Macaca mulatta: one gene and its partner. The protein of the gene in region 1 purifies or fractionates together with the protein of each later gene. This does not show direct contact. Links are inferred from orthologs where the notes say so. Each region holds a gene or a part of one and is shown in the gene's direction. Other genes may lie near its edges. The genes, in order: SGK2 and FKBP5.

What was found.
Region 2: the proteins of SGK2 (region 1) and FKBP5 purify together in Homo sapiens (affinity purification with mass spectrometry; 3 studies listed by BioGRID and IntAct, with this or other methods). This does not show direct contact. The link is inferred for Macaca mulatta from reciprocal best matches to the Homo sapiens genes SGK2 and FKBP5.

The regions. Positions count from the first base shown.
Region 1 is NC_133415.1:96,414,846-96,418,664, forward strand, and holds part of SGK2 (serine/threonine-protein kinase Sgk2), read left to right. Parts: intron 1-670; coding exon 671-826; intron 827-3,819. UniProt on the Homo sapiens protein: Serine/threonine-protein kinase which is involved in the regulation of a wide variety of ion channels, membrane transporters, cell growth, survival and proliferation.
Region 2 is NC_133409.1:146,649,496-146,653,314, forward strand, and holds part of FKBP5 (peptidyl-prolyl cis-trans isomerase FKBP5), read left to right. Parts: intron 1-2,274; coding exon 2,275-2,417; intron 2,418-3,337; coding exon 3,338-3,452; intron 3,453-3,819. UniProt on the Homo sapiens protein: Immunophilin protein with PPIase and co-chaperone activities. Component of unligated steroid receptors heterocomplexes through interaction with heat-shock protein 90 (HSP90).

The DNA.
Region 1 (3,819 bases):
ATGGAATTATTCATATTTTGCTGATAGGGAAATGGAGACCAAGAGAGATCACAGTCCTGATAGGTTGTGGAACCACCCCTGGCCCCAGTCCTAGGCTGCCTGCTTAGGTAGAGGCATGTGTAGATTTGCCCTAGGTCATGCTTTGCTTTGGGGGTGGTTTCACCAACATAGCTTGGTTCCTAGGAAGGAACAGACTCTGTGGATTAAGGGGAAGGAACAGCTGGAAGAGGCTTGGGAGGAAGAATAGTAAGAAAGAGAAGGGGACCCTGGATATGGTTTGGGGCCTGGCTCTCTTTCTAACTGCAGCATAATTGCTCTGAGTCTTGTTTTCTTATCTGAAAAATTACAGCTCTCTTGGAGGATAGTTATGAGACTGGGGTGAAATGATGAAGGTGAAAGTGCAAATGTTGCCAAATGCAAAGTTGGTGAGCAAGCTAGATGAAAAGAGATGGGCCTCACACTGGTGGGAAGAGGCTTCTGGCCTTCCTAGCAACTCTCTCCATCGTGCCGGAAACCTGGAGTCCTGTCTCTTTCCAGTCTGCCATGCGAGCCATTGCACAAGACGGGGGTCATGCTGAGTCCTCCCAGCGCCCACCTTGCTCCAAGTCTCCCGGAGCCTGTGTTCACTTTTGCATGGGTGATCCTCCAGTTGCTCTCCCTCTCTCCCCAGCCGCCCTTCTACAGCCAAGACGTGTCCCAGATGTATGAGAACATTCTGCACCAGCCGCTACAGATCCCTGGGGGCCGGACGGTGGCCGCCTGTGACCTCCTGCAAAGCCTTCTCCACAAGGACCAGAGGCAGCGGCTGGGCTCCAAAGCAGACTTTGTAGGTGACCTGCCAGTGGAGCACTGGCCCTCAAGGGACCCGCAGCTTCCTGCAGAGGCAGCTCAGAAGCACATTAACATGCACCCTGCTGCCCTCTAAAACCAGACACTGCTCACTTGTTCATTTGGAAATTCACTACTGCTACTAGCTGACTGCTTTCTCTAGTCTAGTTCTCTTAGTCAATCAATATTTACTAAGCACCAACTATGTGCCAGGTATTGAGCTACGTGTTAGGGATTCAATAGACTGGGTCTCTGCCCTTATTAAGTTTGGGGTGGGGGCTGGGTGCAGCGTTCATGCCTGTAATCCCAGCACTTTGGGAGACCAGAGCAGGTGAATCACCTGAAGTCAGAAGTTTGAGACCAGCCTGGCCAACATGTTATAAACCCCACCTCTACTAAACATACCAAAAATTATCTGGGCGTGGTGGTGGGCACCTGTAATCTTGGCTACTTGGGAGGCTAAGGCAGGAGAATCACTTGAACATAGGAGGCGGAGGTTGCAGTGAACTGAGATCATGCCATTGCACTCCAGCCGGGGCAACAAGCAGAAATCCATCTCAAAAACAAAAACAAAAAGTCTGGGGTTGGGGGTAGGCAAAAAACCCAAACATTATATACAATTATCACAAGATATGACAAATGTCAGGAAGAAAATGAACAATGAGCTGAGATAAACAATAATGGGAGGGGAGCAAATTAATACTGGCATTGTCAGGGAGTTCTCTCTGAGGGGGTGACAATTAAGCTGAGGCTTAAGGATGAGAAAGAGGCAGCCATGAAGACAGCTGGGCAAAGGCTCCCCAGACACAGGGCACAGCATGTGCAGACGTCCTGCTATGGGAACAACGAGGAGAGTGGCAAGTTTTAGGGTGTTTTGAGCAGAGGTGTGGCATGACCTGATTTAAGTTTATAGAAGATTCCTCTGGCTTCTTTGTGGAGAGTGGACTGCATTTGCTTTTTTTTTTTTTGAGACGGAGTCTCGCTCTGTTGCCACGCTGGAGTGCAGTGGTGCAATCTCAGGTCACTGCAACCTCCACCTCCCGAGTTCAAGAGATTCTCCTGCCTCAGCCTCCAGAGTAGCTGGGACTACAGGCACATACCACCACGCCCAGCTCATTTTTGTATTTTTAGTAGAGATGGGGTTTTACCATGTTGGCCAGATGGTCTCGATCTTTTGACCTCATGATCTGCCCGCCTCGGCCTCCCAAAGTGCTGGGATTACAGGCGTGAGCCACCATGCCTGGCCTTTTTTTTTTTTTTTGAGACTGAGTCTGGCTCTGTTGCCCAGGCTGGAGTGCAGTGGCGTGATCTCGACTCACTGCAACTTCCACCTCCCAGGTTCAAGCAATTCTAATGCCTCAGCCTACTGAGTAGCTGGGACTACAGGCACCCGCCACCATGCCTGGCTAATTTTTGTATTTTTTTTAGTAGAGACGAGGTTTCACCATGTTGGCTAGGCTGGTCTCGAACACCTGACCTCAAGTGATCTGCCCGCCTCAGCCTCCCAAAGTGCTGGGATTACAGGCATGAGCCACTGCACCGAGCCAGCACTTGCTTTTTACAAATATCTGAGCACTTCTTCCTTGCCAGACCCCAGGCTGGGCAAATGGGATATAGGGATAAATGATTCATAGTCCATTCTTAGCAAATTCATTATATTCATTCATTAAAGTGGCACTTTAAAAATAATCCTACTTTTTAAATTCAACACAAGATAATTTGGATTTACAAAAAGAAGGCCACAATACTTTTCTCACCAGGCTTTTGCTTTCTTTTCTAACACAGTGGTTAAGATGAATGGACTAGGCCAGGTACAGTGGCTCACACCTGTAATCCCACCACTTTGGGAGGCCAAGACGGGCGGATCACCTGAGGTCAGGAGTTCGAGACCAGCCTGGCCAACATGGTGAAACCCGGTCTCTACTAAAAGTACAAAAATTAGCCGGGCGTGGTGGTGGGCGCCTGTAATCCCAGCTACTCAGGAGGCTGAGACACGGGGTGGGTGGAGGTTGCAGTGAGCTGAGATGGGTGCCACTGCACTCCAGCCTCGGCAACAGAGTGAGACTCTATCTCAAAAAAAAAAAAAAAAGAATGGACTATGAGGCAGACTACTTGGGTTCAGATCCCTCCTTCACCACTTACTGGTTACAGGACCTCGGACGTGTTGCTTAGTTTCTCTCTGTGAGCCGCAGTTTCCCCATTGTAACACCTAATATAGCTGTTTTGAAGATGAAATGGATTAGTATTAATGTATGCAAAGTGCTCTCAGCAGTGTCTGGCGCACAGTAAGTGCTTTTTAAGTGTTTGTACCAAAAGCTTTACATTCAGTTACTGTAAATTATAACAACATTTAGGGCATCTGCTGCCTACTCCTGGCCAGCTTAAAGAACAGGAGTTTCCATGAAGATAAGTCTCCTGTTCCAAGCAAAAATTTGCATCTTAAAAAAAAAAGTATGACTCTTAAAATAAGTTATACAGGCCGGGCGTGGTGGCTCAAGCCTGTAATCCCAGCACTTTGGGAGGCCGAGACGGGCGGATCACGAGGTCAGAAGATCGAGACCATCCTGGCTAACACGGTGAAAACCCGTCTCTCCTAAAAAAATACAAAAAAACTAGCCGGGTGAGGGGGCGGGCGCCTGTAGTCCCAGCTACTCGGGAGGCTGAGGCAGGAGAATGGTGTGAACCCGGGAGGCGGAGCTTGCAGTGAGCTGAGATCCGGCCACGGCACTCCAGCCTGGGCGATAGAGCGAGAGTCCGTCTCAAAAAAAAAAAAATAAATAAAATAAAATAAGTTATACATTCACATAGATCAAAATTCAAAGGGTACAAAAGAGTATCCAGAAAAAGTCCTTCCAGCCACCTAGTTCCTCAATTCAGAGGCAGCCAGTGTTACCAATTTCTCGGGTATTCTTTTGGAGGCTTTATTTATTTTTATTTTGAGACAGAGTCTTGCTCTGTCGCCCAGACTGGAGTGCAGTGGCATGATCTCGG
Region 2 (3,819 bases), on another chromosome or scaffold:
GCATGTATTACTTGAATAATTTTTTTTTTTTTTTTGTAAGAGACAGGGTCTCGCTGTGTCACCTAGGCTGGAGTGCAGTGACATAATCATTGCTCACTGTAGCCTCTTACTCGTGGGCTCAAGCTATTCTCCTGTCTTAACCTCCAAAGTATCTGGAACTACAAGCATGTGCCACCATGCTGCACTAATTTTTTAAATTTTTGTAGAGAAGGAGTTTCACTGTGTTGCCCTGGCCGGTCTTAAAACTCTTGGGCTCAAGTGGATGCTCCCACTTGGCCTCCCAAAATGCTGAGATTACAGGTATGAGCCACTGTTCCTGGCCACTTAACATATATTTTTAACTGAAATAAATGTAGCTTACATTTGGAAAAGTTGTAATATTTAATGAAGATTAAGCTAAAATCATGAATGACAAATGGTTTATCCATCCCTGCTTACATACGGTTATGTAGGGTTTCACTTGTCCTAATATCCTACCACCAGCTCACTTCAAATTCACTTCCTCTGGGGTTCATCTCTTATCTGATCCCACTTTGAATACTTACATTTTTGTTTTTGTTTTTTGAGACAGGACAGGGTCTCACTCTGCTGCCCAGGCTGGAGTGCAGTGGCATGATCTCAGCTCACTGAAACCTCGACCTCCTGGGCTCAAGCAATCCTCCCTCTTCAGCCTCCTGAGTAGCTGGCAAGCACCACCACGCCTGGCTCATTTTTTCAATATTTTTTTGTGGAGATGGGGTTTCACCATGTTGCCTGGGCTGGTCTCAAACTCCTGAGCTCAAGAGATCTGCCCACCTTGGCCTCCCAAAGTGCTGGGATTACAGGCGTGAGCCAACGTGCCCAACCCCCAGATACTTAATGTTTTTGATTAACAAAGTACCTCATTTGTAATGTAGCCTTTTTTTTTTTTTTTTTTTTTTTTTTGGGACAGTGTCTTGCCGTGTTGCCCAGGCTGGAGTGCAGTGGCATGATCTCTACTCACTGCAACCTCTGCCTTCCAGGTTCAAGTGATTCTCCTCCCTCAGCCTCCCAAGTAGTTGGGATTACAGGCACATACCACCATGCCTGGCTAATTTTTGTATTTTTAGTAGAGACGGGGTTTCACCATGTTGGCCAGGCTGGTCTTGAACTCCTGGCCTCAAGTGATCCACCCGCCTTGGCCTCCTAAAGTGCCAGGATTACAGGCGTGAGCCACTATGCCCCACCAAAATGTAATTAGCCTTTTAAATTGCCTGAATTTTCTATTGTTTCCCAAAGGACTTGATACTGCTTACAGTAAGATAATGATGCACATCATAGGAACTGTAAACATTGAGATTACAATTATATAGCCTAATATAGTCCTACAATTGAGCAGTAAATTTAACTTAGTTTCCTGGAAGTAGGCAAAAAATAAAACATTTTAAGTTCTGTAGTTGTGGTTTGACAAAAAGACACATACGTTTTTGTTTAAAGAAACCTTTTTCTGATTCTAAATTTCGAGAAGAAATGTGTTTCATAGACCCTTTTATGCAATTTATATTGTTCTGGTTACTTCTTGTTTTGTTTTGTTTTGTTTTTGTCTACCCAACTAAATTACAAGCTTCCTTAGGACAAACTCTATTTTTCAATACTATTTTTGTTCTATCTTTGCCTAGAAAATGTGTGCTTATTATAGTTGAAATGATAAATTAAGCAACAGTTGCAACACAGCCATATTTCATGGATAATGTTACCACCAGTTTTCAAAGACTTAATTTTTGAGTAGTTTAGGAATTTATACTACTTTCATCCCTTTCAGCAGGGAATCCTTTTTGAGACAGGTCTCACTGTCACCCAGCCTAGAGTGCAGTGGCATAATCTTGACTCACTGAAGCCTCAACCTCCTGGGCTCCCGGGCTTAAGCAGTCCTCCCACCACAGCCTCTGGAGTAGCTGGGACTATAGGTGTGCACCACTATACCCAGCTGTGTTCCTTGGGGGTTTTTTTTGTTGTTTTTTTTTAAGAGATGAGGTCTTGCTATGTTGCCCAGGCTGGTCTCAAACTCCTGGACTCAAGCGATCCTCCCACATCAGCCTCCCAAAGTGCTGGGCCGATCAACAGGGAATCTTTTATGATAGCCTTGAAATAAATAAATATTTATTTATTTGTATGTAGCACTCGGTCATCTTGTAGCCCATACTTTCTAGCTGAATATGTAGTATGAAAAACTGGAAATTTGAACTTTTGTTTAATGAAAGTTAAATATTTTTAAATAGGGCTGATAGCTTTCAACTACCTTTTCCTTTCTCTTAGGCCAAGTTATCAAGGCATGGGACATTGGGGTGGCTACCATGAAGAAAGGAGAGATATGCCATTTACTGTGCAAACCAGAATATGCATATGGCTCAGCTGGCAGTCTCCCTAAAATTCCCTCGAATGCAACTCTCTTTTTTGAGGCAAGTATGTGTGTGATGTTGCCTTGTCAGCATCTGCTCTACAATAGGAATGGCTTTGAAGCAACAGGCAGTGGGAAAAGGAGCTATAGAGAATCACATCCAACTTACTTATTTTGGAGCATGGCTTCTTGGATTGTTTCCCACAAACCCAAGGGTGCACGTGCCAGTGCTTTTTGAGAAACGTATTTCCACCACAAAAAGGTCATATCCAAATACGCAAAAGACACTACACTTAGAAATAAAGAATCTGGTCCATGGTGTGAGTGTGACATACTCAAAATTGACCAGAATGCAGGATGGAAATGTTGGCAATAAATGTTGAAATATGCCTATGTCAAGTTGCAGGGTATTTTCATATTATAAAGGTTTATATGTCACAGATCTCACTTCTCTAGAAGTGTTTGATGGTGATAAAACATTATTCAACCTGTGTTGAAATTACATATATTTGGCAAAACTTGATTTTTAAGAACTACCCCAGCTAGGTAAAATATACCTTTAATCAGTCATAGGCCACATTCATGAAATTTATGTTTACATTTTGAGAAGGGAACTCCATAAATCCAGGGTGGGAAAGTTGTGGCCTCAGACAAACTGTTCTACACCAGCACCTTGTAAAGCTCTGGGTTTTTGCCCACAGGGTAGTGTTCCTAGTATTTCCTGTCTCTGCACCGCAGTCCCTTAGGATATAGTCCTAGACATTATCATTATGTGAAATTCTTTCCAAGTATGGAAAAGTATAGTGGGTTTTTTTTTTTTTTTTTTTGCTACTTTTCCAATAATTAAGATGCATAAATGAATGTATACATTTTGAAACAGCTTTATTTTGTAAAATGAAATAATTGGTTGCCCTTGCCTTCACATATGTTAAATTGGCTTTATTTGGTCTTTTCTCATCTGAATTCCTTTTTTCTTTCTAGATTGAGCTCCTTGATTTCAAAGGAGAGGACTTATTTGAAGATGGAGGCATTATCCGGAGAACCAAACGGAAAGGAGAGGGATATTCAAATCCAAACGAAGGAGCAACAGTAGAAAGTAAGTATTAAAGTAAGAGGGAACTAGTCCTTAAAAGTTGGACCATTTATGTGGACGAAATGGAGACTTAAAAAAAATATGTTTATGGAAATGAACATATCGGCTGGGCGTGGTGACTCACGCCTTTAATCCCAGCACTTTGGGAGGTGGAGGCGGGCGGATTGCCTGAGCTCAGGAGTTTGAGACCAGCCTGGCCAGCATGGCGAAACCCCATCTCTACTAAAAATACAAAAAACTAGCCAGACGTGGTGGTGCATGCCTGTAATCCCAGCTCCTTGGGAGACTGATGCACAAGAATCACTTGAACCGGGGAGGTGGGGGTTGCAGTGAGCCAAGATGGTGCTACTGCACTCCAGCCTGGGTGACA